4 linked regions of the Rhinolophus ferrumequinum genome follow. The protein of the gene in region 4 purifies or fractionates together with the protein of the main gene of each other region. This does not show direct contact. Links are inferred from orthologs where the notes say so. Each region holds a gene or a part of one and is shown on either strand. Other genes may lie near its edges. The genes, in order: UBC, DCAF7, DCAF12 and CUL4A.

Evidence for each region.
Region 1: the proteins of CUL4A (region 4) and UBC purify together in Homo sapiens (affinity purification with mass spectrometry, with the first as the bait; 3 studies listed by BioGRID). This does not show direct contact. The link is inferred for Rhinolophus ferrumequinum from reciprocal best matches to the Homo sapiens genes CUL4A and UBC.
Region 2: the proteins of CUL4A (region 4) and DCAF7 purify together in Homo sapiens (affinity purification with western blotting; 4 studies listed by BioGRID and IntAct, with this or other methods). This does not show direct contact. The link is inferred for Rhinolophus ferrumequinum from reciprocal best matches to the Homo sapiens genes CUL4A and DCAF7.
Region 3: the proteins of CUL4A (region 4) and DCAF12 purify together in Homo sapiens (affinity purification with mass spectrometry; 4 studies listed by BioGRID and IntAct, with this or other methods). This does not show direct contact. The link is inferred for Rhinolophus ferrumequinum from reciprocal best matches to the Homo sapiens genes CUL4A and DCAF12.

The regions. Positions count from the first base shown.
Region 1 is NC_046308.1:3,431,674-3,439,279, reverse strand, and holds the start of UBC (polyubiquitin-C), read right to left. Parts: upstream 3,084-7,606; 5' UTR 3,079-3,083; intron 2,965-3,078; coding exon of another isoform or gene 2,850-2,964; intron 2,709-2,849; coding exon of another isoform or gene 2,571-2,708; intron 2,382-2,570; coding exon of another isoform or gene 2,287-2,381; intron 2,193-2,286; coding exon of another isoform or gene 2,119-2,192; intron 868-2,118; coding exon of another isoform or gene 770-867; intron 640-769; coding exon of another isoform or gene 554-639; exon of another isoform or gene 58-553; intron 1-57. Other genes in the region: probable ATP-dependent RNA helicase DHX37, read right to left, coding at 554-639, 770-867, 2,119-2,192, 2,287-2,381, 2,571-2,708, 2,850-2,964, 3,745-3,917, 4,802-4,918 and 4 more.
Region 2 is NC_046304.1:42,212,632-42,220,612, forward strand, and holds the start of DCAF7 (DDB1- and CUL4-associated factor 7), read left to right. Parts: upstream 1-4,842; 5' UTR 4,843-5,060; coding exon 5,061-5,198; intron 5,199-7,981. UniProt on the Homo sapiens protein: Involved in craniofacial development. Acts upstream of the EDN1 pathway and is required for formation of the upper jaw equivalent, the palatoquadrate. The activity required for EDN1 pathway function differs between the first and second arches.
Region 3 is NC_046295.1:50,760,250-50,767,879, reverse strand, and holds the start of DCAF12 (DDB1- and CUL4-associated factor 12), read left to right. Parts: upstream 1-4,711; 5' UTR 4,712-4,743; coding exon 4,744-4,821; intron 4,822-5,446; exon of another isoform or gene 5,447-5,503; coding exon of another isoform or gene 5,504-5,563; intron 5,564-5,908; coding exon 5,909-6,163; intron 6,164-7,630. Other genes in the region: 39S ribosomal protein L32, mitochondrial-like, read right to left, coding at 4,283-4,711. UniProt on the Homo sapiens protein: Substrate-recognition component of a DCX (DDB1-CUL4-X-box) E3 ubiquitin-protein ligase complex of the DesCEND (destruction via C-end degrons) pathway, which recognizes a C-degron located at the extreme C terminus of target proteins, leading to their ubiquitination and degradation.
Region 4 is NC_046287.1:55,720,058-55,728,094, forward strand, and holds the start of CUL4A (cullin-4A), read left to right. Parts: upstream 1-4,993; 5' UTR 4,994-5,472; coding exon 5,473-5,626; intron 5,627-6,582; coding exon 6,583-6,698; intron 6,699-8,037. UniProt on the Homo sapiens protein: Core component of multiple cullin-RING-based E3 ubiquitin-protein ligase complexes which mediate the ubiquitination of target proteins. As a scaffold protein may contribute to catalysis through positioning of the substrate and the ubiquitin-conjugating enzyme.

The sequences.
Region 1 (7,606 bases), on a different chromosome or scaffold from region 4:
CAGGACCCACCCAGACCAGTTTCTATACGGATGTACCCAAGACCCCCCCCATTCAGAGATTCGTTAGGACTCACTGGACTCACACGCCAAGATTTATTACAGCAACATAGGCGACAGCTGCCCCTGGGGAGGAGACACCCACGCCTTGCGCCCCACTCCACAGGAGCCTGGGCCCCCCTCACTGTAGGGTGGGTGTACCGCACCCCCAAAGGGGGGGCGCTGGGAGGAGGCCCTGCAGTCACCGCCTCCTGCTCTCAGCCACTTCACCCTCCAGCTCCACAAGGGACTAATGTAGTCCACAGAGCACATTGAAAAGGGGACTCGCACGTGAGATAAACTGTTACCCACCACGTAATAAATAGTTATAAAAAGTCACCGCCAGGGCAGATTGCCCACGGCGGCAGGCAGCAAGCTGTGTCAGAACCGGGCCAAGATGAAAGAGGGTTTCCAGAGGCTGCCTCCTGGGTGAAGTCCAGGGGCCAAGGGGTATCATGTCAGAAACTGGCTGCTCACATGTGGTGCTTGGCCGGCAGGCCAGGCACCAGGTCAGACGTCAGAGGTCAGAGGTTGGGGGCCAGGCTTTCTCCACATCGGCGTGCATGGCCTCGGGGAGCCACTCGCAGTACTCAGCCAGTAGGTCTGCAGGGGCAGAAGACAGCGTCAGAATGGCTCTGTGCCCAGCTGCCCTGCCAACCCTGGGTTGCCTGGGCAGACCCCGTCCCATCCGCTCCCAAGCCCTGGTTAAGGGGCACCTGCCCGTCAAACTCACATTTGGGGCTTTTCCTCCAAGCAGCCAGCAAGGCGTCTCGGCAGTCGGCCTTCTCGGCCACAAGGGCCCTCAGGAGACTCTCTGTCCTGGGCTGCAGCCTGTGGGAAGGGATGGAGGGCATTATGCCACCCACAGGGCTGCCCGCTGTGGGAGGGGGCAGGCAGCCCTGCCTTGGTGGGTAAAGGATCCCTGTTCCTCCACCATGCTGGGTGCCGTGGCTCGATGGAAGGCTCTAGACGTCACCACCTCCTACCTGCCTCTGGTCCGCCCGCCCTGGCCTTTCTTCTACTCCTTGAGCACTCCCCCACCCATGCTGCTCGTCCCATCTAGAACCTTCCTCCAGATTTCCACCTGGCTCACAGCGGCCTCCTCCGAATCTGCCCAGTCAGGCTCTCCTGACCAACCCCCCCAGGCCCCACACCTCATCGCTAACGTCCTGCTCTGTAGCCGCGTCACCACCCGCCATGTGTACTAGCTGTGTTGTTTGGTGTCAGTCTCCCTGCACCGGACGTCCCCACAGGGACAGGGTCCTGCCTGTATCCCAGCAGAGAGGGTGATCAAAACCAGCTGCTGGGTGAACAGTTGGCTGGCAGCAGCCTGGCAGGGGGCGCCTGGCCCCACACCCTCCTCCTGAGTCCCTGGAGTGAGGGAGTGAGAGGGTGGACTTGCACCCATCTGCTTCCAAGACCCCTCCCGTGCACCTTCCAGACGCCAGCCTCAGGGAGGGGGAGGCGTCCACTTGGAGCTGGCCAAGGTGGAAAGAGAACAAAAAGGGAGGAGCAGGGACAGGCAGGGCAGAGGAGGATGGTGGTGATGGGCGGGACTGGGTGGGCCTGTGCGCAGCTGGCAGGAAGCCCCTAGGGACGCAAGCATGTAGAACACCTCCTCCTGGCACCTGGCAGCTGTGTAGTGGGTTGACCAATGTCTCCCCAAAAGTCCACATCCACCCAGAACCTCAGAATGTGACCTTATTTGAAAAGAGGGGCTTTGGAGATGCAATTCAGATGAAGTCATACTGAAGTGGGGTCGGCCCTGAACCCATGATGTGCTTACAAGAGAGGACATGAGGGGACAGCCATGTAAAGACAGTGGCAGGGATCAAAGTGATGTGGCCACAAGCCAAGGAATGTCTGCAGCCACCAGGAGCTGGGGGAGGAGGGAAGGAGCCTCCCCTAGAGCCCCCAACCCTGCTGACACCTGGATTTTAGACTTCTGGCCTCCAGAACTGAGAATACATTTGTTGTTCTAAGCCAGTCAGTTGGTGGTGACTGGTTATGGTGGTCCAGGACACCAATCCCAGCTCCTGCCGCCACCCCCCGCCACCCTGGTGCTGCCGGGAAAGGCTGTACCTGGCCCACGTCTTCAGCATCGTGCTGGGGCTGGACAGCAAACAGCCCTGGTATGAGGCCAGCTTGGGGAAGACCTGAGGAGAGCGCACAGGGCAGGGTGAGGGGTCACCTGGCTCACCTCCCGCCCACAGCACCCAGGACGGGGCGGGGAATCACCGGGCTCCCTACCTGCCCTTCCAGCAGAAAGCGGGCAAAGTGCTTGTAGCAGTCGAGGCCCTCCGGGAAATCCACCTGGACCGCGGGCAGTGGCCAGCCGACGCGATCTGGACGGCAGCAGCCAGTAAGCGAGGGACCGTGAGGGACCCCCACATCCTCCCCAGAACCAGCCGGAGCCGGGGGCCTGTGGTGACACCACCTGAGACACACACACACACACACACACACTTCCCAGTGTAGGGTGTGGGACCGTGTCCACGGGAGCCCAAGGCCACCAGGAAGCTGCCCCAACTCACAGAACACGCTGGCCCGGTGACACAACACCCGCCCCTTCTCGGGGCAGTAGGCAGGGGGCGGCTCCTCCAGGGGCTTTTCGAACTGGCAGTAAGCAGGCAGCAGGGCTGGGATCCACTGGGCCTCCACGGTGCAGACACCTGGGGGCCCAGGAGAGAGGGCTGAGGATGACAGTGACCAAGCTGTCTGGGAGGGGCTGTGTCCTCCCCACCAAGGGCCCTGGCGTCACAGCTCCCCAGAGCCCGTGAGCAGGGCGAGGGGCCGGCCACCGGCTTTGCTACCTTTCATGTACAGCTTGGTGGTCTCCACAATTTCCTGGTAGACCACAAAGTCGGGCAGCTCTTTGAAAAGGACGGAACTGGGGTGGATGTAGACAGGGTCATCGAGGAGGGGGGTCTGCAAAGAGAGGGTGAGTGGTGTGTGTCGCAGACACAAGCACAGGTGCAGGAACCCATGTGAATTCAGCTGCACGTGCGGCTGGGAAAGCGGAAGAGCATTCTGCCAGGTGACGAGCGGCGTGTCCGTACCGGGGACCAGTATTCAGCTGAGCGAAGACGCCGACACAGGTACTGACACGTGCCTCACTCACCACCATGCTGACTGAGAGAAGCAGGACAAAAAAAGGCCACAGTGTATGCTTCCACTGACACGAAATATATGGAATCAGCAAAGCCGTAGAGACAAAAAGGCAATTCACGGAGTGGGGGGTGGGGGGTTAGGAGAAAATGGAGAGACTGATAATGGGGACGGGGTTTCTTTTTGGGGCGATGAAAATATTCCAGAATTGATCGTGGTGATGGTTATACAACTCTGTGAATATGCTAAAAACCACTGAATTGTACACTTTAAAATGGTGAATTGTCCACTTTGTGATTCCTCTCTCCATTAAGCAGTTATGAAAATAGACTTGGGGTGAAGCTAATCCCCAAAGGAAGTGTGACTCCTGTACACCCCATCCTGTTCCTTGGTGGGGACTTTCCCAGAGGCTGCAGTGACAGGACCGAGGACAGGTCCCCGCAAGGGTCCCCTGGCTGCTCTAGGTGTCCCGACAATGCCCAGAGGCAGGCATCACAAGTGCCCAGGCTGGCAGGACTCGAGACAGATGGAGGGTGGGGTGGAGAGGGGAGCCCGGGCATAACGCCTGCCACGCTGCCTGCTCCCGAGCTGGAATCTGACCTTATACGCATTCTTCCACTTGTCGTCCAGCAGGTCCTCGCTCTGGACCCTGCGGGCCAGGTGGTCGCCCAGGCCGGCCGTCACGATCTGCCGCAGGTAGGTCACCTGGCTCTCGGAAGGAGGTTGCATCTTGGGGTCCACAAAGAGCCCAGCCTCAGGGCACACAGAATTGACTGGGGGAAAAGCCAGGTGTGAGGACAGCAGTGGACAATGGTGGGACCTGCGGTCTCGGGCTGACCTTCTGGGAAGCCCCGACACCACTCAATGCTGAGCTCTGGCCTCAGCACCTGTTCCTCTCAGCCCATTTCCACCGAGGCTGCTGGGTGGGCGGGAGACAAAGCCCTCAGCGGGGCAGAACCAGCTGCCCACGCCATAGCCACGCCCTCTTCTTCCTTAGGACAAAACCCCAATATTCCTCTGTGGGTGGCAGAGTGAGCTGCCAAGAAGCCACCCCCTCAGATGCCAGGGTGGCGCCGGGACTCGGTCCTGCCCCTGATATGACGATGGAGTTGCCGGCTGGAATTTTTGGAACGCTCCTCTGGCCCCTTCCTCCTGCCTGGAAAGCAGGTGTGATTAGATCTCCCAGTGTCTTCTCGGTCCCTGAGGTGGCCTCGAGGATGGAAGCCACGTGCAAGGCTGGCAAGACAGCAGCCCAGAAATGTGTGGGCCTCTGGAGACCCCGTGAAGCCAGGGTCAGACCCTACGTGGGATCAGGGAACCCAAGGGTGAAACTGGGGATGCCCAGGGGCAGCTGGTCCAGATCAGAGCCAGGGACAGAGGGTGACGCGAGGGACCGCACTGGAAAGGATGAGGCCGAGGTGTGCGCGCCTGCTCACTGGCGGGTCCTCAAAGGACCGCAGAGGCGCCAAGTACTGACTTAGGGTTACGATCAGTCTCAGCGAGGTGAATGTGTACACGTGGGACCTGTGATAACTGGGGAATGACTGTGCACAGATAACGTCGATGAGAAGAGCTTTAAACATTAGTCCCGTTTGTGCTGGGGGCCGCCTGTGGCAGGAGTCCTGGGGAGCCCCAGAGGCGGGTGTGTGGGCCGTACCTGCGGTGGTCAGCTGGCCCCGCAGGCGTCGAATCTCCATCATAGCCTTGTACCGCAGGCCGCTGACCTCGCAGAACTGAGGCGAGCAGCCCGCGTACTCGCAGGCCCCCACGGCACCTGTGGACGAGGACGCACTCACTGACTGTCCCCCAGGTCCCACGGGCCCGCCCCCCTTGGCTGGGGCACACACCCAGCAGCACCATGAGGTCTCCGAGTTTCAGGGAAGCGCCTCGTCCTGCCCAGGTCCTCTTCATCAGGGCCACCCGGGCACGTCTGCCCTTCAGCGTGGCCCGCTCCTCGTCGCTGGACGCTGGTCTGCAAACACATACACCACCTGACTGTCGTCCTGGCTGAGGGCCACAGGGGCAGGAGGCGCACAGGTTCAGGGACAGAGACCATCCATGCCCGGTGGGGTCGCTAACATGATCAAGGTCTTCAGCTCTGGCTCAAAATTTACCCTAAAATTCACCTCCGGTAGCCAACAAGATAAAAAATGTGAATGCCTCCTACCCACGATTTCACATTTAGAGATCAATGTAAAGACACAATCCTACAAATGAGTAACATTGCACAATGCCGTGCAGCTTACAAATAGTAATAAAAAAAAAAAAACCCTGAAAAATGCTGAAATATACACCAAGTATGGACTGGATAAACGAATTTTCCCCTGGTTCCCAAACCTGAAAGTAATGACACTCAGGCAGGTGTCAGGTATACTTTGAAGTCCCTTATGTTAACTAACGTAACCCTAACAACAACTCAGTTATTAATAACATCTCATCCCCATTTCCCAGATGGGGAAGATGAGGCACAGAGAGGTGAAGTCACCTTCCCAAGGCCACACAGCTGGGGAGTAGCAGAGGGAGATTTGAACCCAGGCAGTCTGGCCCAGAGCCTGGGCTCTTAGCCATCATGCTACAGAGCCTTGTATCAGCTTTGCGCGAGGAATTTCCTTAGAACACGTTCTGTAGCGACCAGAACACTGGAGCTCTGGAGAATGAGGGTCTTGCACAAGACCACCCAGTGATCCAGTTATTCCCTCAGAGGCCGGGCTCCAGGCCCTCTCTCAGCCCAGCGCACCCCGTCAGCCTGAGCATGAGGCCGGAACGCACAGCCCCCCGCCCCCACCTGTCCAGTTCCACGAACAGCTCCCGCACGGTCATGGCGGCCACAATGGTGATGGCGTAGGGCAGGCAGCCGTGTTGTCTGCTCAGTGCCAGCATCTTGGCATAGCGGGGCGCCACGGGGAACGTGGCCATGGTCCTGCCCAGCGCGGTGATGGGGCAGCTCAGCCGGGACCTCTGCAGCTGCTTCATCCTGGAGGACAGAGGAGGCTTTAGCGCCAGAGCTAAGAGGCCCCGGTGCTCAGGGCAGCTCAGGAGAGGGGAGAGGGCCAAGAACGGGGCGGGAACTGGGCTCCCCCCACCAGCCCCTGCCCTACCTTTCTGTTTTCTGGGGCACCTGCAGGGCACCCAGCGAGATCAACAGCTCCTCGGCAGCAATGAGGGCCTCCACAGAGGGAGGAGTTGGAAAGGGGAAGTTGATGACCTGGGACACAGGAAAATGCGCAGGTGACAGAACTGAAGGCACAGAAGTGGGCACGGTCACTGCAAGGGGGAGCCGGGCCAGGCCTGGCCACTCAGAAAGGGCCCCGGGCAGCCTCCAAGTCCAGGGGCCAAGGGAACCCCGAAGGCCTGTTTCCTTCATGTGGTCACATCAGCCACTCGCTCCGAAGCAGGTCTGAGCCCCTAATGTGCGCGGGGGCTGTTCTTGGCAAAGGAGATTGAGAAAAGCAAGACCAGGGCTCTGCCTCCACTGAGCTTTCATTCAACCAGAAGGGGCCGTAGACGGGAGCAAACACATAAGGAAGAGTAAACGTGCCCCGACAATAAAAGGTGACAGGACAGGGAGTGGGGCTCAGGGGTGGTGGCACCTTAGAAAGAGGGACCAATCAAAAACGAGTGTTCTAATCAATCCTTGTGCACTCATGTTCACAGCTGCCAAAACGTGGAAACAACCCAGTGTCCAGCAGTGGGCGAACGGATACACAGAATCCGGTTCATGCGTACAGCACACTGGATGTGATCTGGCCATAGAAGGAATGAAGCACCCACACGAGCTACAGCGTGGATGACCCGTACAACATCACGCTGAGTGGCAGAAGCCAGACACAAAAGGACGAATTCCGTATGACTCCATTTCTATGGAATGTCCGAAATGGACAAATCCGGAGACAGAAAGCAGACGAGCGGCTGCCCGGGGCTGGGTTTCCACTGGGTACGGGGTTTCTCCGACTGCACCACCCCTGCTGGAGCAGGGAAGAGACGGACAACCCCTGGACAGGGGGACATGAGGACGTCCCTCCCCTGCCCCCCAGGAGACTGACCGGGCAGAATATTCTGTGAGCCTGAGGCCACCGACAGCCCTCCACACAGTGGGTGGGCCCTCTGGCTGCACAGCTTCTGTCCCTGGCAGCCAATCCGCAGGTGCTCAAGGGGCACAGCACAAGGGGAGTGGGGGTCACAGGAGGCGGGGAGCCCAGGTGGCTGGACAAGCACCACCAGGCTGAGTCCCCGGGCTCTCTGGGCTGTGGGGAGGGGGAGCTGCCCCATGGGGGCCTGGAGCCGCCCTCGCTGACCACCCCGGACATGGGTGCGCTGAGAGGTCAGTGAGGTGATGGTAAGGCTGGGGGCTTCGGCTGACCTTTTCAATGTTGAGAGCTTTCATCTGAAGGATCAAGTCTTCCACGGGCCTCCGGGTGATCTCAGGAGGGGGAAAGTGCTCAAAGTCACTGAAAACGGCAGA
Region 2 (7,981 bases), on a different chromosome or scaffold from region 4:
AGGCCCCTCCAAAGCTGGGGCCCGGGTTCCCCTGCCAGGGCTTCAGCTTTCTGGGTCCTGGAAGCCAGACCTCTATGGGGGCAGGACCTCATACTCCAGGGCACCCAGGTAAGGAGATCCACTTCACCTGCTATGTGTTCCCAAAGCAGGAGGGGCATGGGATCAGGGCTGTGGAACCAGCTAGAACAAGCTCAGGCTTTCCTTTCCCTCTTGCAGGTGCAGCCCCTTCCCTGAGCCTCTCAGAGGCATCTGGGCTCTGGCCTGAGTTGCTGCAGCAAGTGCCCCCAAGACCAAGGCACAGCCCCACAGACCCTCAGGGAGACCCAGACTGCTGGCCTCAGGAGCTAGGCTCCAGGCTAGAGCAGCTCCAGGCCCAGGTGAACAGGTGAGTGCCCTGCAGGACAGAGTTCTGGGCTGCAGAGAGCAGGCCCAACGGCAGGCTAGGCACAGGTGCCCCCTCCTGGTGACTTGGGGACATTACTGGATGTCCTATGAATTTCAGAATGGCTGACAGCATTTAATAGCAGGCTTCCCCATCCCTATGTCACTGAGCACAATTCCTTGGATGGCTTGTCCCAGCAAACCCCAGAACATGCCAAGGAAACTTTCTTAGGGCAGGGGCATAACCTCGTGCAGAAACAAATTCCATGGGCCCTTGGAACGGGGATGTGGCCTGTGGATGGCAGGGCTGTGGTGGCAGAGTGAGAGGTTAGGGGCAGAAGAGTCCTGAGTTCAAATTCTGGCTCTGCAACTTACAAGCAAGAGTGTGGGCAAATCACTTAATCACTCTGAGCCTCTGTTTGCCCTTTTGTGAAATGGGGATAATCAGAATACCCATGTCAAAGGTTCTTTATGAGGCCTAAATGATGTGTGCATGGTGCTTGGTCACCTTTATTGACAGAGGGGAATTTGGTGCTAAGGGGAATTTGGGGAGGGGCTGCGGATGGTAGCAGGGAAATAGCTTCAGGTAGGCCCCAGGCTTCCATTCCATCCAGCAGGAACAGCATGTAGGCTACAAAATGGAGAGCTGTCTTCCGGACCTAGACTGCTCTTACCAACCCTGACCCTGACCTTAACTAACCCTGATCTGCCCCTGACTGTGGGGTTCTGTCGGGTAGGCTGGAGTCCCGCATGTCCTCAGAACTCAGCCGCATCCTGCAGCTCCTTCAGCAGCCCCTGCCCCAGGGCTGCACTGGCTACATTCTGGGAGCCCCTGCCTCCAATGACCTGGCATTGTTTCCTGCGGCCTCAGAGACTCAGAGTCCAGGAACTAGGCTGCCCCAGGGCGATCTGCCCCCTGCACAGGTGAGCAGGTGAGGGGATCCCCAGGGGCTTGCCTAGAGGCAGCTGCATGCCTTCCCCCACCCCCAACTTGGTCTCAGTGTGGCATCAGGCCCAGGGCCTTGTGGCCTGAGAGCAGCCATGGCTTCTGCTGTCCTTTATGGTCCAAGTCATGACAGGGCAGCCTGGACAATTAGTGGCAAAGCCCAGTTTATGACTGAGACCCCATAGCTGGGGCAACGGTAAGAACACATAGTTCCTACCAATTCCCAGCCCTGAAGTCAGGGTGGCCTGGGGTGGGGGCTCCCCACACTGCATCCCTCACTCTTTCTTGCCCCTCAGACCACAAGCTATGGTGACTTGGACAAACATGGGCCGAAGCGCAGGAACTCCTCCCCCAGGATGCCTCACCTGGTCATGGCACCAGACAAAACTCTGACACTTTCCTCGGAACTGGAGCAGCCTGAGGGGCTCCTGTCACCCCTGGCCTCACCTCTGCGTGCCCTGGAGGTACAGGGACTCATCTGTGGTCCCCGCTTCCCCTCCCTCCCTGATCACCTCGGCTCTGTCCCCAGGCAGCTGGAATTCCAGAGACATGGCTCAGATCCTGGATTTGTGGGGAGTTAGAGCCACTGAACCCCAAGATAAAACACACCATGAGGGGATTAAAGGTGGGAGAGGTAAGAGTTACATATTTGGGGGAGGTAGACAGCCGCCAAAATCGTCCTCTGAAAACCATTCTCCTAGAGTAGCTACAAACGTCTAACCCAGGTGATCCAAGATGGCAGGGTAAGAAGGCTTAGGATTTTCCCAGACTCTTCCAGGGCTTTGTGTAGATAGCAGGCCTGGTGGAGGGTGGGTGAGCCTCGGGCATGGAGGAAGCTTACTGGACAGAGGGTTCAGTGAGGAAAGGAGAAGTTTCTGATCTTCTGTGTGAGAACTTTGCTCTAGGCTGGGTGCAATCATGTCCTGGATCAGAACTACCCACCGCCTCTTGGCTCAGCATCCAAGGTTGATCAGACTTCCTGCTGAGAGCCTGTGACCTGGCTGGAAATGAAAGTGTCCTCTGTAGTGGACATATCGGGGCACATAGCTCCAGCCCTCAGCTGCTTTGCCTCTGACGGTTCTGTGATGACCTTTGGGACTCTAGCAGACAGTGGAGTGTATCACAGCTAATAAAGTCTGCACATTTCACGTTGGGCTGGGTGTGTAACTTACCTGCGGGTTATCACGTCCTTGACTATGCCATGACCCCAACATCTTGTTGTCTTCTCCAAGCCCTTCTCACCGGAGGTGTGTGTTAGGCACCTAAAGGTGGCTCTGCTGGACCCAGGAGCACCTGGATCACGGGGCTTTTAGCCAAGCTGGAGTGAAGGGAAGCAGAGAGGTACTGGCTTGGTTAGCATAGGGAATCATGACAATAGCCACCACTTTCATAACACCCTGTGCCAGGCACTGTGCTACCTGCTCTGCAGATATTAGTTCATCTAATCCTCACAACAATCCTATGGGGTCAATGTTATTCTCCCCATTATAGAGAAGTGGGATCAGAAGCAGAGAGAGACTAAGAAACTTACACAAGCATAAAGGGGACCTCTGGGGGGGAGCTGATACTGTTCGGTTTCCTGATCTAGATGCTGGTTACATAAGTGCGTTTCAGGTTGTGAAAATATGTACACTTATACTTCAATTTAAAAAACAGAATTTTGCCCAACAACACAGGAGAAGGAGGATGTAACTTCAACCCAAATGGTCTGGCATGAGAATACATGCAGTTAACTACTCCACTGAAATAGGCTGTTGCAAAAAGTACCCAGTCACTGGTATTCAGTTCCTTTTGCTCCAATATTTCCTGAATAATTTTGAAAATGTATTTGCCCCCGCACATATTTTTAAATTGACATCTGAAGTATTTCAGTAATAAGTTTAAATAGCTGTAAAGGATGTAATTTCCAGTGTGTTGTAAATATTGATACTTTATAAACTGTTTCATTTATATTGATTCATTTTGATCCAAATAGCATAGTGATTTGAGAACCAACATCATTAATTTTAAAAACACTACAACAAACTCTTCTTTAACATCATTCTTTTTACTCTTTTCAAAATTCCATTCTATTCCTTCCAATTTATGCTACACCTAATTTATTTTCATGCTTTAAAGTCTATTATTGATAATCTTATCATATCTCTTTGCAACACGAACACATAAATTGAAAATATATAAAATGAAAAATTTAATTTTTTGTAATCTTACAAAGGCTTTCAGGGTTATACTTATTAGTTCAGAGTTTTTCAAAACAACACAAATATATCAAATTTTTATAAAAACTAAAATTTTATTGGAAATGCATCTCTTAAAAGAAGGTATTTTACTCTCAATTAGTTCATATGTGTGGATGAATATAATTTTTTATTAGAATAAGACAAGCTTCAGCAATACTTTTGTACCTACTTTTCTATCCTTTTTAAAAAACTTAAACACAGAGTAAACTTGTTCACATAAGTAGATGGGACTGTAAGGAGTTTGTTTGCATAGCAGTGCCACTCAATTCTTTGAATACTGAGTTATCTAACAACTACATTTATCATTAAAAACTGTAGTTGATGATATCATCTAATGTCAATACAATCCTCCTTTAATTCTGTTTAAAGCAAAGAATTGGAAGCCATTTAAATTGTAAAGATTCAGACATTCTCCATTCAAACTCACAACACAGATAAATTTAGCGCTTGATTAGCATTTGCCTTGGGATCCGAAGCGGGGAAAGGATGGAATGGGAACAGAAAGAAAACAAAACAAAAAGAACTTATTACCAAGCTGGTCGGTCGCTGCCTACTGAAGGGCCAACCCTAGAATTCCCAGCATTTCTAGAATGGACAGGAAAGCGCGGGAAGGCCTGACTGAAGCTGGCCTGGTCCTGATTACATGGGCGGGTTAGTGTGCAAAAGGCTTGTCCTCGGCCTGCCCTTGGGGTACTGGAGAACAAGTCTCTCGGCTTAAAGGGAGCGTTGGTAAGAGTGAGGAGGAAAGGTGGTTCCCATTTGGCTGGTGGGCCAGAGTGCCAGGCCGAGGGGCTTAGTGCCGCGAAATGCAACAGGCCCTTGAATAAGGCAGAATTTTAATTTTTACTCGACAGCATGTAGAAGCCGCTCGGAACAACAGCTGCAGAGTGGAAGTCAAAGGAGGTTACACAAGAGGTTTACCACTGTCAGAGATTTGGCCTAGAACTTGGGAGGCCTACTACTCCGCCTCTATGCCACCCACGCCCCCATTCACCCGCACTGCGCCGTTATCTCTTTGACTGACATTTTTGTCAGCCAATGACCTTTGGGGCTGAGAAAGCGCCTGCCCCTTGGAATTGGGCGGTGCAAGTAATTGGAATGACAAACATTTACACCAATAGCGAGGAGGTTTCAAAAGCTACCGGGTACAATAGCCAATGAGAGTAAGGAACCGTTCTAAAGGACGTATCAAGCAGCCAACAGCCGGCGCCGCTGCGGGGGACGCGTGACTTCCGTCCCGAGAGGGCGGGGCAGCATCTCAAACGGAAGGTGGTTATCGCCCGAGCCTTAGCAGTTTTGAAACTGGGGGTCGGGCTCGGCTGTCGTTGTCTGTCGCTGCGGCCCTGCTTCCGGGCTAGGCAGTCCCTGCCCGCCCCCGCCCCGCCTCCCTTCGGACCCCTGGGTCCCAGGCCCGACTCCCCCACCCGACTCACGCACCGCTTGCCGCAGCCCGCTGCCGACCCGGCCCGCACTGCGGCCCGGCCGCCGCTACCATGTCCCTTCACGGCAAACGGAAGGAGATTTACAAGTATGAAGCGCCCTGGACCGTCTACGCCATGAACTGGAGCGTGCGGCCCGACAAGCGCTTTCGTCTGGCCCTGGGCAGCTTCGTGGAGGAGTACAACAACAAGGTTGGTCGGGCAGGGCCTCGAAACTCAGCAGGTAGGGGGCGGGGCGAGCGGTCCCCTGGAGCGCCCTTTCCGGGCCGGACCCCCGACCTCAGGACCCTTCTGCGGACTTGCCTTTAGCACCATGGAGTTGTTCCTCTAAGTCTCGTCCTGAGCAGAGGGTTTCATATTCGTTTCATTTAATCGTAGCAGCATTCCTGTATAGTCGGAGTGTAGTTAACCCGTACTCCCATTTTACCGATAAGGAAACAGAGGTAAAATGTTGTGACTTGCCCGAGTCAGACATCTGTTTCGTGGCGGAAACAGATCTCAAACCTGAATTTACACCCAAAAACTACGCCATTTATCACTTGTATCTCCCTCTCTCCTGCCGCATTGCTTCACGTGGGGGGCGGAGGAGGGAGGGATTACTGAAGGAAAATGCTGGCGTCTCAGTTGGTGGCCATTCACTCCTGGCTACACTCGATTTCTCTTGGCTGTCTATTGCGCAGACTTCCCCTCGCTCTTCTCCCACCCCCAGGTACTATTCTTGAGGATACCCAGCCCCTCTGCTAGGATTGCCATTGCTGCCTTATTACCCTCCTCTTCAGTGCGATCTTTTTAAAAAATCTTGGCCAATGGCCTTGCTTTCACCACTGTTTACTGAATTAAGAAGGATGACACTTGCCACATCTTTTCTTGGCTTTTTCATGCTAATGTGGATGTGTAATCCTGAGTAGTAAGTATCTGTCAATTTGAGTAAGCCTTCATAGAAGCATCAGTAGCAAGGCGAAGCTTGCACGCTGGCAGTACAGCATAAACTTGTTTTTGAAAGTTGTTGAATAAGTCAGCGGGAAGAATTTTCTGGGCTTTACCTCTTAATCTCTTCCTTTTGTTGTATTAGAGTAAACGTTGTGATTGTTAGGGATCACAGCAATTGAAAGCCTTGGCTAGTGTGTTTAAAGCCAGTACTCCTGCTTGACTATGTGAACACGATGACTTAAGAATAAAACTGTGGACAGTGACAGGACAGAGAGCTAGCAGTTCTGACCCCTAGTTTGTTTTAGGAAAGGGGTTCTGTAAAAAACATTTGAATAATGTAACTTTGTTTACAGTTCTTCAGGAATACAGCTGTTTCTCTAGTGTTAGGTCTTTGAAATCCCTTTGCCCCTTTGAGAAACCGATGAAAGCAAAGGACTCTCATTGCCCCCGACACTACACATACACAGTTTACAAACAAATACCAGGGAGTGCATCCACTGAGGCCTACCTGATCTTGAAGTCCACCCATTACCCACAGAAAGCAGAGAGTCCTGGCAAGACAATTTTATTTTCTTTTTTCTGATGCCTTTCTTCCTGATGGCCATAGTGGACAGCAGAGCTGGGAATGGAATTCATGATTGTGATGTGGAAATCGCATTAGTATAATTAAGAGCACTAGAACTATTGTTTGAGGCAGGGGTGTCAAAACTGCGGCCCTCGGGCCAACTGCGGTCTGCAATCCATTGTTAATTGGCCCGCAGCAAAATCCAAAAATATATTTAGTTTACTTAAATAAAGCAGGTGAGGCAATACGTACTTCACCTCGAGTGAGAGGCCTGGCTGTTTGTGTATTTTACCGTATATGGCCCTTGGTGAAAAACGTTGAAAAAAGTTTGGACACCCCTGGTTTAAGGATACATGTTAAAAAAAAAAAAAATGTAAACTATGTATTTTAAAGAGCTTGAGTCTTTTCACCCAAATAGATGTTCTTTTTCCTTGCACATTTTTCCAGGATTAGTTTGGGTAAGCAATAGTAATTACATTTCTAAGAGAGGACAGACTGACCCACAATTAGGCTGCTGGTGAAATTAGTGGAGTAAATAGTGTCAAATCTCAGTTGCAGGAACTTTACCCCAAAGTTTGTACTTCCATTTAGCAACCATATGAGAGCTCCTTTGTGCCAGGCTTACATGCAATGTGGCCTTAGTAATATAATGCAAACTCATGATTCCAGTGGTAACAGCTAAGCAGTTAACTGTGTTTTAACTTGTGTGACATAGGTGATCAGCATCTTAAAACTACTTTTGTGCCCCCACGTATGTAGGTCAGGGTTTGTAACGTGTGTTCATCATGCCCTGGACACCTTTAGCAATCTGAAGCCAGTAGACATTTACTCTTAATTATGTTTTCAAATGCATCAAATACATAGGATTATGAAGGAAACCAATTGTGTTGAACTATAGTTATTAAAAACATTTTTTTAAAAGTGATGATAGAATAATATGTAACTCGTTACACCATCTGGTGTAATTATTACTGTATTTTTGAAGTAGTGATAAAGGTAAACAGCATTTCAAGATGTTTAACAACTGTAATGTGATATGAAAAAAATCAGTGATTTGTATTTGTGACAAAGTCACAGGTATTCATGCTGCTGTGAGGAGCCATCTCCATTTGTAATTGAAAGAAATGCTAAATTTCAGCTAGTGGTTAGTGAAAATATGAATGTAATTTTCTAATTCAAGTTCATAGACCCCAAGTTAAGAAATCCTGCTGTAAAGGATCTGTGCCGAGGGGCTGGTGGGCAGCAGTAATTCTCAGGGTCAATTTTGGGGAAACCTTGACATGGAGGTGCCAGATTCCATAATTTGCAAGAATTTAAAAATTATTGGTTGGAATTTTCAGACCTTTGGTTCCTGCTTGCCCTCGATAGTGATTGCCAGCAGAGGACAAAATAAATGGACATAGCAAATTAACATTGATGAAAAGCCCAGAAATGGTCTTTTTTACTGTGGAGACATTGACTATAAGAAAACTGTTATAAT
Region 3 (7,630 bases), on a different chromosome or scaffold from region 4:
GGTAATGGTTTTTAAAGAATTTTTGCTCTCAAAATAGTTGATGTTCTGGATAAAATATTTCAGGTTTTAGAAAAAGAGAAAACATGAGAGTACTAGGAAAATGATAAATATCACTTTCAACTTCACGTGAACCTAGATATTTCATGTGGCAGAGTTGAAAATAATGAGACCAGAGTTCTCAGTCATCTGCCGACTGTGACTTGACATTTTTTGGCTTCAGTTTTCTGTAAAAGTATGAGTTTAATGAGATGAACTGTCTTTATAGTATTTTCTACCCTTAATAATCTATGCCCCAGGATCTGAAAAATATTTCCATAGCGGGTGAAATTACCATTCAAATGCCTCTGAGAACTAACATTTTTGCATCATAAGAGAGCAGTTATTGAGGGCTTGCCATCTGTGCCAGTTCATGCTCTTATGTCCTCCAGGTCTCTTTTCTTCCTATGTTTTTTTGTAATGGTTTATATGATTAAAATTCTTCAATCCTTGTTCCTAACAGAAATGCTTTCCTCCCGAGCCCTTTGCTAGCAAGTACAATTAATTAGCTCCAACAGATTAAGGGTAGAGGCATACAGGGAATTATGGCAACATGTGCTTTGTTTGCTCTGAGGAATCTATGCAAATAAACAAGTTACTAAACATGTATAATACAATTCAATTTGTCCCAAGTATTTTATAGTATTTTTTGCTATTTATTTTTTCTGGCAAGACCAAGCCAAAGAAAAGGCAAGAGGTGAGCAGGTCCTAGGGTCTCCTGCCCATTCATGGGCCTTCTGCAGTACAATGAATTGTGATGGAATCGTTCCAAGAACTGACTTGGAGAGGTAGGGGGTGAAGAAAATGGGAATTGTGGGGTTTTTTATTTAATGTGATAAAATAGTATAGTTTAAAAAAAACTATATGTGGATATATAGACACAGACACAATTACATACAAAAAAGACCTGGAAGATCACTCATCAAGATGTAAAATGTAAACAGTGGTTATTTTCTAGAAGGTAGAAATATGGGTGATTTTTGCTTTTTGTGTCTTTCTTTCCTTGTTTTCCAAGTTTCTATTTTGAGTATGTATTTTGTTTTGTTTTGTTCATTAGAAAAACAGTTGTTTTAAGTAATTTACCCAAGATTAGGGAAATGAGTTATTGCAGCATTATTTTCATAACAGTCTCTTCCCCATACGTATTGTTACCCTTACTGTGAACATACCTATAGGACTTTGTAGAACATACATTTGACTTACTCTTTGTTCAATCATTCAACATTTAGGGAGTGCATAAAATATGCTAGGTGCCTTCCCAGGCACGAGGGATTTGGAGATGAATCCTTGCCTTTAAGTAGCTCTCAAGTTAGTGAGAGGGACAGTGCCCTATAGAGGTATACCTCTTATCTTTTATACCATATTTTTACTGTACCTTTTCTATGGTTAGATATGTTTAGATACACAAATACCATTGAGTTAAAATTGCCTACAGTATTCAATACAGTAACATGCTGTATAGGTTTGTAACCTAGGAGCAACAGGCTATACCATATAGCCTAGGTGTGTAGTGGGCTATACCTGGACGTTTGTATAAAGTGCACTCTATGACATTTGCAAAACTACGAAATCACCTAACGATGCATTTCTCAGAACATATCCATTATTAAGTGGCACATGATTGAACTGAGGTATATTTATAAAACTGCACAAATCTTAAATGTACAGCTTGATAAAATTTTACATATGTGTACACTAGTATAAATCACCACCAAGATCAAGATATAGAAATTTCTAGTACACCAGAAGCCTCCCTAGGTTCTCCCAGTTAGTAACCACCAAGAATGACTATTCTGACTTCTATTACTGTGAGAGTGTGATATAATACAAAATAAATATTTTTGGTCTTTCTCCCTGGTTCCTGGCACGAGTGCCTAAAACTCTTGTAATTTCCTGAGTGATCTTAGTGAGAGGAGCATCTTTTGTCCCTTTCAACCATACCTGCATTTATCTTAATTGGGTGACTCAAGACGGACCCCTAAATAGCTTCAGAATGGGGGCTGGTTGCCAGAGGAACCAACTACGTGATCTGAGGGTTGGAACTTTCAGCTTCACCCCACAACGTCTGAGAAGGGGAGAGGAACTAGGGATTGAGCTAATTACCAATGGCTAATGATTTAATCAGTCATGCCTATGTAATGGAACCTCCATATAAACCCTACACTATAGGGTTTGGAGAGCTTCTGAATTGGTGAATGTATTCATGTGCCATGAGGGTGGTGCACCTCAAACTCCACAGGGACAGAAACTCCTGTGGCTCAGCACTCCGGACTCACCCTATTTATCTCGATCTGGCTGTTCATTTGTATCCTTTATATCCTTTATAATAAACCGGTGACAGTAAGTTGATTATTTACTTGAGTTCTATGAGCCATTATAGCAAAGTATTGAACCTGATGAGGAGGTCATGGGAATCCCAATTTATCTTTTCTACTATTAGTTGCATTTGAACTATTTCCAATTCAGGGCTATTATGAATAAAGCTGCTATAAATATTATTATAAGTAACTTTTGGTGGATATAAACACTAATTTATATTGGGTTTATAACCAGAAGTAGGACTTTTGTTTCATTTTTTGGCTTGGGACTTCTAGATCATAAGGTATACGTTTTAGTAGGTACTGCCATAGATTTTTCCAAATTGTTTGTACCAATTTACATGCCCACTAGCAATGTATGAGAGTTCCAGTCATTCTACCTCCTAATAAATACTTGGTATTATGTCTTTTAAAAGCAATTATGAATTTTTAAACTTTAGAAATAAAATAGAATGAAGATTCATTTGGAAGTTTAAAAGTGAGCTCTGCTGTGAGGTGCTTTCAGAGATAGTTCCTGGGATGTCAAGATGAAGCGCACCAACCTCAGGGAGGTGTCTGCAGCCTCTGACATGGGCAGAGACCAGAATCCAAGCACAGTGTGGCATGAGCCTAGAGATTCTCAAAGGAATTTCAGACTCTTGCCCAATGGTCTCGTGGGTCATCTAGGGCATTGTGAGGCAAGACAGAACTGGAACAACAGGCTCAAAAAAGGGAGGCTGACCCACTTCTAACCCATTCACTGTGTGCATATGTCTGAAGGGATAGTCCTGACCAAGTTAAGATGGGGCTGCCTTTCCCAAGGTGGGATTAGGGGTTAGTGGAAGTGCTGATTTGTGATAGCAGAGGATCCTGTCTCAACCTGGTCACTGGTCTCTGATTCAACTTGGAAAACAAATCCAAATCTCCTTGGAGGAAGAACTTCAGATGGGCCAACAAAGCTCCCTGGAGGTCTGAGGCCTGAAGCCTAAAGGGACCAGCAGGTAACCAGGCACTGAGCCTGAGGCTGGTCAGCCACAACAAGCAAGAGCATGCTGCTTCCTCACAGGGTTTTTTTGGGTGTTTTTTTGCCCGAGGAAAGTAGAGGCTGGAACTCAAATTCCTACGGGATCTTCTGACAATAAAGGCAAGGGCATCCTGAAGAAGCCCCCGTGTCTGGTGACCAATGCCAGGCCTAACTGTACTGAGAAGCCAATGGTCCCTCTCTTCTCTGTGGTTCAGAATTTTACCCCATCTGCCGTCATGAAGACACAACCGTGGCCCCCGGGGAAGGCAAGCAGTGGCAGTTTCCTGTTCCAGTCCCGGCTCAGGACTGCATGGGAGATGTAAGAAACATAAATTACGGGGTGAGGCCTATTTTATAAAGCACCGAAGACAATGTGTCCGGCAGGTGATGCGAATCGAAAGGGAGGCGAGGTTGCAGTAGCTAAGGAAAGGGTGACTGAGGGGCTGTTGCGGTTAGGGCAAAAGACAGGCTCAGGCGAGGGAGGAGGCTGAGTGGCAAACAGAGCCTCAGGGCTCCTCAGGTGTGGGGAGACAGCGACCTGAGGCCGGGCGCGGGGCTGGAGGGAGCGGGAGATGGGTGTGGCCCAGGCTGGTGGTGCGCGGCTGGGCAGGTTCTCCGTACCGGGTAAGTCGGGCCCGGCAGGCGTGAATTCTGTGCGGACTCCAGGGAATGGAGGGAGAAGGTTCTGCCTCTTCCCATAGTACCCAGCCCTTGGCGTCAGGGCGCGGTGTGTGATAGGTTCAGGGAAACGTGCGGCGCTCGACGGGAGATAACCAGTGGCGGCTACCGGGTAAAGGGTACGCTGAGAGGGATTCCTTCTCCAAGCGGGGTTAGTCGTCCTCACATCTGGGTGCCTCAGGATGAGCGGGCGGGGGTCCGAGGTCGGCGGCTAGAACCCAGATTCCTTTGGCCCCAGGTCACTCACCTCCAGCGGCCGCCAGACGACCGTTGGAAACCCGCCGAAAGCCGCTAAGCAACAGCCGCGAACTGTCCTCCAAGCTCTAAACTCCGCCCCTTTAGTCCTGGCAGCGTCTCCGTGGCGACGCACTGAGAAATGCGGCTGCGCCAGAGTGACGGAGCGCGGGTGAAGGGGAGGGGGTGTTTTGGTTCTAGCCGCTTGCCGTCCTTTCCCCACTCGATCGTCGGGACGCTTTTCATTCTTGCCTTCCCTTCCCCTTCCTTTTCCCTTTCCCAGCCCCGGTCCTCCCTCCCTCCTTCCCTTCTGCCTTCCTCCCCTTTTTCTTCTGCCGCCCCGGGTCCGGGCCATTTTCCGGGCCGGGCACATTAAGGTGCGCGGCCCCGGGGCCCAGTATATGACCCGCCGTCCTGCTACCCCTCGCTTCCCCCGCCCCATGTGGCTGCGGGGCTGTGGCGGCGCTGCCCACTATGGCCCGGAAAGCAGTTAGCAGGAAGCGGAAAGCGCCAACCTCGCCGGGAATTGGGAGTGACGCTCAAGGCCCGCAGGTGAGGGCTGAGAGGCTGGGACTCGGGTGATAAGACCAAGGCAACGAGAGGGGTATAGAGTTTGCAGATCAGGCAACCGGAACCGGGACCCAAGGTCTGTAGTTGGAGGTGGGGGTGGGGCAAGAGCGGAGTCCCGGCTTACTGGGTCAGGATTGGGCCCTCAGGATTTCACTGAAGAGCAGATAGGCCGGAGGGTGGAAGAGCTAAAGAGGAACTTGAAAATGGGGCATATTCCGCGGGAGGCCTGCAGCCTGGAATGGGGCTGGAGGAGAAACCAGAATCTGGGCTTTGGAGGAAGGGAAACCTAAGTCGAAGGGAATCGGGAACAAACCTCCTAGAAGATACGGGGAGGGAGATTAAAAGTCCGCCTTACTGGGGCCCCCCGAGAAGCGGGGATGATTAGGAAAGAATCTCCCTAAGAATACTCAAGTGAGCTAGTACTTGGACCCCTAGAAGAAAACAGCAATTCCCAGGTATCATCCCTATACTCCCTCTTTGGAGAGGAAGACCTTGTAGGACGCGTATTTGGACTCTGATTTCCGGTGCCTCCCACCCCGTTGGTGTTTGATTTTTCGAATTCTACAACTGCCTGGAGCGCGGGGCTGGTGACAGGGGGGCGGCCATTGATCGTTCATCTTGGAAGACGTGGGACCCCAATCTGGCTCCTTGGGCTGCGTTCTCCATGCTCCGCAGGAAGTACAGGCTGAGAGGGAGAAGGGGGCTGGGTAGAGATGGACCCCAGGTCGGTATGGTAATCATTTGGCGCCACTTTCCCTTCCCTATCAGATAACTTTAGGGAATCTGAATCTTTCACTCCTAAAAGGCCTAGTAAACCTTTGTCCTCTGCTTCCATTCCCCGGTCTTTAATCCGTTTCTCATAGGTAGGTTTGACTATGAGCAACATCTTTTCACTGTTGGAAGAGTTAAACTGGACTATCTGGGTTGAGATTCCTCTTCTAATCTGTTTGTATTTCTTTTGTATATAAATCCTGCAGGATGAGTTCTTCGTGATATCTCTAATACAGTAGGATTCCTTGTTCTGAACAAGGGTAGTCAAAGCCTTGATTTCTAATGTTGCTTTCCACAGTTTGGCTGGGATCACTCCCTTCACAAAAGGAAAAGACTCCCCCCAGTGAAGAGATCTTTAGTGTACTACCTGAAGAACCGGGAAGTCAGGCTACAGAATGAAACCAGCTACTCTCGAGTGTTACATGGTTATGCAGCACAGCAACTTCCCAGTCTCCTGAAGGAGAGAGAGTTTCACCTTGGGACCCTTAATAAAGTGTTTGCATCTCAGTGGCTGAATCATAGGCAAGTGGTGTGTGGCACAAAATGCAACACGGTAAGTGTCTGGGAGAGATGTGAACTTTCTCCTGGGTCCCGGGTATGTGGCTCCACATGTTCTAGAACCTCTCACTGCTCGTTTTCCCCATCAGTTTCTCTTGTGAGGAGGTTGCCTTACTCTCCTTTCCATTCCCTTCTGTTGATGACTTCTTCCTCTCTTTTTCTGCTTCTTTTCCCACTTCTACATTTATTTTCTGATGCATTTTCAGAGGAGTCTTATTTCTTTAGGTCTTTAGGTCTTGCCATATGGAAATGCCACTGCTTCTAGATTCTTTTGGCCTCATCTTTTTATGTTTCTTTTTAAGTTAGAGGCCTCAGAGGAAAGACTTAGGAAACAATGGTGCTCAGGGCATCATTCAGGATACATGATAGTGAAAACTTAGGTGTTACCTGCCAGCCTAAGGCCACATGTAGAAGTACTTAAGATAGCACTTGGCAAACATTCACTTTTAGGGAATACAATCAAAAGATGTATTTCTTAGGAGAATGGGCAGGGAATGTGTGTCTGGTGGTATACACGAGTATTTCAGGATGTACATGTTTGTTCTTTGCAAAGCAGTCTCCTTGAAAAGGATTTAGAAGAGAGAAAAGTTGTTTTGACATAGAATGACTTAGAAGACACTTATAAGTAAATGAAGGGAAAAATTTATCAGTAAGTTACATAGCCAGCACAATTTCAGGCATGGATAAAATAAGTCAATCCATAATTAGATATGGTGGATATAATTGGAACATAAGGGCACAAATAGCATGACGTCAGAGGAATGGCAAGTGAAAAGAGGCAGGGTCTGGAGATAGAAAATGATTCTGAATGAAGCGTGTGAAAAGATCAAATGTAGGCCCAGCTGCTCTCTCCATTTTCCTCTCACCTGTGTGAATAGACGTGTAATGTCATAATGCCTGGGTAAATTTACCCTGGACAGAAACACATCTTGGATCAATTGGAAGAGGGAAGGTTCTGTGGATCAAGAAAGTCTTTAAGTACTAGCAGAAGCGTTTGTTATAAAGGACATGGGCAAAGATTTAAAGATGAGTTTTAAGGAAGGAAATAATACCATGGTGATTGGGGCCAAGCTTTCGTTTCCTCTTCTGTTGAAGGTTGCTTGTCATACAGAAGCCTTTCAAAACTAAATGGTGGCGGCAATCCTCTACAAAACTTCATTTTCCTAGTCTCTCAGGCCGCCATTTGTGGTTTAAGAGAACTGTCGTCATTGTCACTTGGAGTAGAGAGTCCCTTATTTGGAGGAATTCATTCCACTCCCCAAACATACCATTGTAGTGTTTTGCCCGGCAAATGTTGTGAAATTGTAACCTGAAGTAATCATCCTAGTCTCCTCTTTGCATTTATTATTGACTGTTTTGAAGGTGAGAATAATGTTAAATAATAATTTAACCTACTGCTAATACGTACCTCTCTCTGTCTTCTATGTCCTCCTGACCCTAAGTGGGGGCCTCTTTTCTTTTT
Region 4 (8,037 bases):
CATTACCAAATCTGGAATCCCATGGCACACTGCACAGAGCTAGAAAATAACAGCTTCACGCTACAAAGAACACATTGGCATTCCAACTTTTCCAAAGATGTCACAGGGCTACCCCACCTTGCCCCCTGCATGCTAGCCTGCTCTGAAACACTAGAGGTATTGCAGGCAAGAAAGCAATCAACCACACACTTTAAGGATATAAAGCTTTGCTTGAATTGATGGTTTAGAGATAAATATAGTAGAAATGAAATAGAAATAAAAAGCGGTATTTCATTTGCTTTGCTCAGCTCTAGTTTCTGTCCCAATCAGGCAATGAGGTGGGCATGTTTCCTTGAAAAATCCAAGTCAATGGTGGGCTCTACATCCTGCTAAATGAAAGGCCACCGTACAGCCAATATGATGGTTATCAAGAGATTTTTTTTTTATGGTATCACACAATAGACATATGAAGACACGATCACAATACAATTTTAACTTTTAAAAACAAGTGTGATCCTTGAAATGAAAAACATGTTTATTAACATTTTAAAGTTTTTTAAATATCACATTTTTCACAGGCTTTACCAAAGTAAAATTATAAACACACTTTTCTACTTTTTCAAAGTAAATCATTCACTGCTTCAAGCATTAGATGATGTTAAATAAAATCCTTAGTCGATTCAGCAATTTCAAAATTTGCTTGTTTTACTTCCTCACCTTAAATGAGCTGCAAACATTTCATCATAAGGGGGTTCCAAAACTTGTTGACACTTCTCTTCTGGAGAAGCCAACTAAATTAAATATGAAGGAAAATGGCAAAAATAAAATTAACAATCATGGAAAGAATGCAATGTGTAGAAAGATATTTAAACAAACCTGTGTTTCAAAAGAAGTTACACTTTACAGTTAACAGTAACACTTTACACTTTAGCACTTCTAAACAAAAGGTTCATTACTTCAGCAAATATTCATCAAGCATGAACTAGGTATAGGGCACTAGATGAATACAATGTTTTATCTACCACAGGCTAGGAAATAGTGTAAGGCACTTTCATACATATCTTAAAGTTTAACAGCCAGTTAGTTAAGAAATATTTAGTAAGTAGCTACTATGTGCTTAATAAATAAGGCATATAATACCTTACATAAATAAGGTCTAATGAATTAAAGATGCCATGTTAGGAATCACTCCTCAGGTGCCTGGTGATAGAACCACCCTCTCTGTGCCCTGGGCTAGACTAGCTGACATTTATTTCTAACTCTGCCTTTCTTCTCAATGGCCAAATTTTAGATAATATGAGCATCCCAATGGGTTATATTTAGCACACTGAATTAAAAGAAAAAAAAGGGAATCAATGAGTCCACTCTGATACTGATATAATACACATATAAATGTGGGAGGGGAAAAATATCAAATTCAGAAAAATCATCATTCTACAGTCTCTAATGAAATAATTGATTCAGACAATGGCCACCAGTGAGTGGAACCATCAGATGGAAGGTTCACAGGGAATTTTATACTGAAGAACTCAGTCTTAAGAGTACAAATGGGCAAACAGATGTGCATGCCCCTGATGTAATCAATACGAAACACATAGCACCAACTATGGAGTGTCTGGCCAGCAAGCTGAACCTGAGTCTCATCAAGTCTCTGGAACTAATTTCTATTTGGAGCAATGGTTTTCAATATGTTCTGTATATTAGAACAACCTAGGAGACTTTAAATTTAAAAATAAATAAACACATAAATACATAAATGCCTGCTTCTACTCCCGAAACTGGTTTACACAGTTTGAGGTATAGCCTATACACTGCCAAATATAATCAGCAATGTAGAAGCTCAAACTCTAAACTTCTCTTAGGAAGCCAGATAGCCTGTAGCCCTTTGTGTGTGTACTCTTTTTACATACCTGAAGCCGTGGGTTGGCAACATGAGGATGCTTGAAAGATACCAGCTCCGCACAGGATGCCCCATCTCTGGTGTCGATTGCTTCATAGACCTGCAGCATTGGAGAAAAGAAAAGCTAAGTAGAAAATAAAACACTCTATTCTAATAGAACCTAAACAACACATTGTATAACACCAAAATTCATTTTCCCTACTTTGAAAGGGTCAGCATAATCAAAATATTATAGTCAATATTGTCTTTAGCCAGCAAACAATAACTATATTTCAAAATGAGATCGTCTGGAGGCAAATAAACAGGTGACTTACTGTGAAAAACAATGAGAGGGCAGAATAAGCCAGTTTATTATCTGGTTATTAATGAAGGTGATTTATTCTAGTTTTACTGGGTCACACAAGCAAACATTTGAAAATTCACTTACACAGCTTAAGGGAAAAGAAAGCGCTTATAAACCACATATTTCCAAAATTCAAAAGGCGGTTCTATTCAATCTAAATATAAAAGAAAAATTGGATGGCAATGGCTAAATAAATGGTGTCACAGTACGCTGTGAAAAAGAATCAAATAAATCTACATGTAATAACATAGGAATGTGTCCGCAATATGCTTTAAAAAAAGAAAGAAAACAGAAAAAAGAAAAAAAAGAGTCACAGGAGGGGCCAGCACGGTGACTCAAGCGGTTGGAGCTCCGTGCTCCTAATGCTGAAGGCTGCCAGTTTGATTCCCACATGGGCCAGTGGGCTCTCAACCACAAGGTTGCTGGTTCGACTCCCGCAAGGGATGGTGGGCTGCGCCCCCTGCAACTAGCAACGGCAAATGGACCTGGAGCTAAGCTGCGCCCTCCAAAACTAAGATTGAAAGGACAACAACTTGACTTGGAAAAAGTCCTGGAAGTACACACTGTTCCCCAATAAAGTTCTATTAAAAAAAAAAGAGTCACAGGAAAACTGCGTAACTTGATCTGGGAGAAAAAGACAAAGTATGTATGACACGCAAGCACAGAAAGAAGTGCAGGACCCCACGCCACACCAGCTGACCCCTTGGGGTGAGGGCTGAGAAGGCTTTTATCTTATATATTTCTATACTGGAAGACTGTATTATAGAAGACATTTGTATTAGAAAACCAAATGTTATTTTTAAATTATGTGTATCAAAGATGACATAAAAATTCCAACAATGTGAGGAGAAAGCCAAGCATAAAGTTTCATATATAGTGTAATTTATCTACAATAAAATTACATATATAAACTTTATATCCACGCAAGACTCTGACCAGGGACATCGTAAAGAAAATATCCAAATGGTACACAAACGAGAAGGTGCTCACATCTTACCCACAAGTGAAATGCAACATGATATCTCTACACATCTACCAGAAGAGTTAAAATTAAAAAGGTTGACCATACTAAGCACTCCAAGAATATAAAGTGACTGAAACTCTCATGCATTGCTAGGGAAGGGGTGAAGTGGCAGCCACTCTGAGACACTGGTGTACCTACTAGTGAGAGCATACACCTACTCCCCGATCCAGTAATCCTATGCCCAGGCACCTGCAGCCAGAAGAGATGGGGCATAAATCACCAGGACACCAAAAGGAACCAATTCCTCATCTGTTGTACCACTCAGGGAATCAGCTGGGAAAGTCTACACTACCCTATCTAATGAAGATTTTGCCACTTGACTATTCAACAAAACTATGTAAGCACTTACATTTTGAGCCAGCAATCCAGCTTTTAAGGATTCACTTTACAATATGGAATAAATTTGTGCAGGGTTACTTGTTGATGTATTCTGAGTAATCATAAAATATTGGTCCCATCAGTGCCCCTGCCTCAAGGAAGCTGATAAAGGATGCCAAAGTTCTCATCACTGGTGTGTGTGTGTGTGTGTGTGTGTGTGTGTGGCGGGGGGGGGGGGCAGAGATGGTGACCAACTATCTTAAAGAACTGGTTCTTAGTAACTATTCAACAAGCACTATCATTCTTCTTCTCATCATCACCCCAAATGGTTTCATCAAATAAGATAGACAATTGAAGGAGATTCTCATTGTGCTCCTCTGAGAATGCAGAGAACAAGACCAAGAGGTAGTTTGGTGAAATGGGAATATGAAAGAGTCAGACAGACCAGCACGAATACTATCTTTACTCCTCGCTAGAATGAGTAGGTCTGAACACTGGCAAATCACTCAGCTTTACCACCCAGCCTAGGGGCGAGCTTCACACCCTTCTATATGCCTCCACTTATCTAGTCGACAAATTACATTCAGCGTCCACATGAGTACGACACCATTCAAGCACCCTGAATGAAAAAAGGGAAAAAAAGAAATGGAACTAGGAGTGGGCAAGAAAACTGTAAAAGGTTAACAAAAACATAAAATTCTAGAGAGATTCTATAGTCATATTGGTTCTCCAATGTCTATGTCCTTGCTCAACTTAATGTTAACTCTGCAAAGATAAGGCCACAGTAGACCTATCCTAAGAGCTTTTATTTAAGGCTAGGTCTACTGTGGTAGCTATGAGTAGAGGCTAGCAGCCAGCATTACTTGCTATCTCCAACTCCTACTTCCACCAGTGTCTGTGCGAAACAAAACTCCAAGTCAGGCCCTTAGGTCAGGCTTTTGATGACTACACAAGGGCTGAACCCCTTACTTCTTCGAGTGGTTAACGGTCCCTTCAGCATCTGCTAGGACTAAGCTCCCCCCCACCACACACACATATATTCACGTCCCTAAACTGAGGGCAGCGACCACCGGCGTACTCCCGGGGTCCCTAAGAAACACAGTGGTGTGCCTGCCTCAGTCGTCCCGTCTGGCTAACAAGGACTCAGGCTACCTCGACCCCGGCCACGCACGCGCCGGCCGCCCAACTGGACCCCAAAGTCCAGCAGGCCAAGGGAAGGAGAAGACTCCGCAGACCGAGCGCGATTGGACCCAACGAACGTTACCTGCTGCAGATACTGGTTTATAGTGATGTGCGCCATGACGGTACCCACCCCCAGGACCGGGCGGAGCTTGAGCTCCGGGCCGGCCCGTCACTTCCGGTCCGTGGTCCGTTCTCGGCCCCGCGCCTCCAACCCCACTTTCCCCGAATTTCGGTTCCGCAGGGAGTATTTGCGGGAGCGTGATCTCCGACCCGGCATGGCAGCGCGCCCGGGCTGAGGAAGGCTGGGGTCTCTGTGCTGGGATTCCCCCGCCTCCCCTCGGCGAGGACGCCTCGTGCGCGCCCCTACAGTGCTCCGGGACACGCCGGGCCCCCGGGAGCTGTCAGGGCTTGCGCTCCGCCGTCCCCTCGACTGTTGCAAGTTTCACACGGACCGCGGCTGACGCGGACTGGCCGCGCTCGCGAGCTTCGGGGTCGTGGGCCGGGTCGGGCCCACGGTCGCGTTGGAGCTGGGGCCGGGGGAAGACCGGACGGCGGTTGGGCCAGGCCAAAGCGGCGTTTGGGCCAGGACTGAGCGGCGCTGACGGAGCCTGGAGTTGCTGAGGGGAAAGGAGAGCAGAGGCCCGGGTGCCCGGCCGCGCGGGTCGGGGAGGAGGCGGAGGAGGCGGCCGGACGGGGCGGGGCGCCCGCTGCTTCCCGGCCGCAGCCATGGCCGACGAGACCCCCAGGAAGGGCAACTTCTCGGCGCTCGTCGGGCACACCAACGGCCTCACCAAGCCCGCGTCCCTCGCCGCGGCCGCCGTCACCTCCAAGCCAGGGGGCAGCGGCGGCTCCAAGAAACTAGTGATCAAGAATTTCCGAGGTGGGTACAGGGAGCGGCCTAGGGACGGGAGACCTAGTGGGCCGAGGAGGAGAGGACAGCTACAGGGAGGAGCCTGGGGGCCGAGGATGGAGTTGGGGGGGCGGCCCGGGACAGAGCTGGGGGTCGGCCTGGGGAGAAGCAACGCGAGGGCTGGAGGTGCTGGGCGGAGCGGCCTCAAAGCACCAGTGGCGGTGGGGGTTGCGGGGGTTGTGGTCCGCTGGACCCTCGACTGTTCGGAAGTCTCCTTCCCAGTTGGCGGTCATTGGTCCCGGTTTTAGACTCTCAGAGTAGGGTGGGGGTCCCCGGGCTCCCCCGATGAGGGCGCGGGCCTTTCCGAATGTCGGCTTAAGCTGCGGTGAGGGCAGCGGGTTGAGTTTACTGGTAGCAGCTTTCTCCTTAATCTGTATAGTTGGTCCAATTGGAATAAAATAGGCCAAATAATTCAAGTATCTTGATTGGCATGGCAGAGCAAGAATAAGTAGCAGCTACTGACGCTCTTCGTGATGTAATTTTTATTACTTCCTCCACTTTTCATCAGTTGTATCACTGATGCTATCAAAATAAGAAGCACCTTTGATGTAGAGATAGCAATTATAAGCTTATTCTTCACCTTCCTCCCAACGTTGAACAATTTAACTCGACTTTAAATGTTGTATAGAACTTAAGTATTCCATGTATACGTTTGTAAAGTCAACTTATGTGAAAGGAAACTAAGATTTGTATATTTCCTGTGTGTTTTTATCCTAAGTATCAATATGAAGTGTATTTAGGCAAACAGATGTTACGGTTGCATAGTCTGTAACCTAACAAATTTATAAATACGATACTTTGTATTGAAAAAACCTAATTTGTGTTCCTTACTTGTGTCTTTTAAAGTACATTTTCATAGACTGTTTTTTGAAAGATTATGACTTAGCATAGATGTCATTCCTCACTGACTCTATCTGGATTTACAGACAGACCTAAATTGCCTGATAACTACACTCAGGACACCTGGCAGAAACTTCATGAGGCAGTGAAAGCCATACAAAGTAGTACTTCCATCAAATACAACCTGGAAGAACTCTACCAGGTAAGGCGCCATGTATGGGAAAAAGTAGAGCTTGTTAGAATCCTCATTGAGATATAAATCCTGAATTTTCTTAGACAAGGACATCTTCAGGACGTGATGAGGCCAGCATCCTGTGTCTCACTTACCTGGTTGTTTTTATAGTTGTCTAAATCACACGATTATCCAACTCTAGTGAAATGTGATACAGATGTGGATTATGTGGTCCTCAGTATTGTTTCAGAGTCAATAATGAAGGAAATACTAGAAATCCAAGTGTTTGCCTCCAACAAGGACAGGAGTCCTATGACAACATGTCCAGAGTCGATGAGTGTTCTCATTTTTTGGTGGTTTGGGGATTTTTGTTTTGTTTCAGGCTTAAGCTCCTAGAAAGATATCTAAAGTTATCCCATTACAGGAGAGAGGTGTGTTTCTAAGAGCCACATGACTTAATATTTTCCAAATACGCAGCAAATTAATGTTATAATTCCATTATGTTATATATAAAACTCTTATTATGGTTTCACTTGTTAATAGAGCTGTTTTTTCCCACTTAATTGTGTTTTCTGATTACTTGTTGCAATTAAAATGCAAAACAAATTTTGATATATTTAATTTAAAGTAATGATGTTCTATTTCTAACATAAAAAATGGTCAAAAGTACATTTTACTATTTGGATATTCCATTTACAAGCGGACTGGTTTTTCTGATACTTTGTTTTTAAAGAATAACATTTGTTAACTAATCTATTATTACCCACATTTTGGGTAGCAATATGATATCCTGTTAAGAAATATGAATTTAAAATTTTTTTCTGTTTACATAAGTGAGTACATTGTAAAAATTATGAAAACTACAAAAAGAGTACAAAGAAGAAAATAAAAACCATTTATTTTCCCACCATCCAAAGAAGACTACTGTTGACAGTTTGATGGATATATGTGCCCTCTTTGCCTTAAGTTTGTGTATTACATTTTTTCAACTTTATTAAGGTATAATTTTACATATACTATGTATTTCAATAAGTTTTAACAAATATATACAATTTTATGACCACCACCACAATCAAGATATAAACTATTAATATTTCCACCACTCCAAAAAGTTTCCTGAGGCATCTTTCCATTTAGTCTTCTCCACTGACTCCCAATTATTGGCAATCTGATTTGCTTTCTGTCGGTATATTTTGCCATTTCTAGGGTCTCATTTAAATGGATTTTGCAATCTTTTTATACTTGACATTTTTTGGGGGGGGGGAGAATATTGGGGAACAGTGTGTTTTTCCAGGGCCCATCAGCTCCAAGTCGTTGTTCTAGCCCATGTGGGAATCAAACCGGCAATTCTGTTGTGAAGAACTTGGGC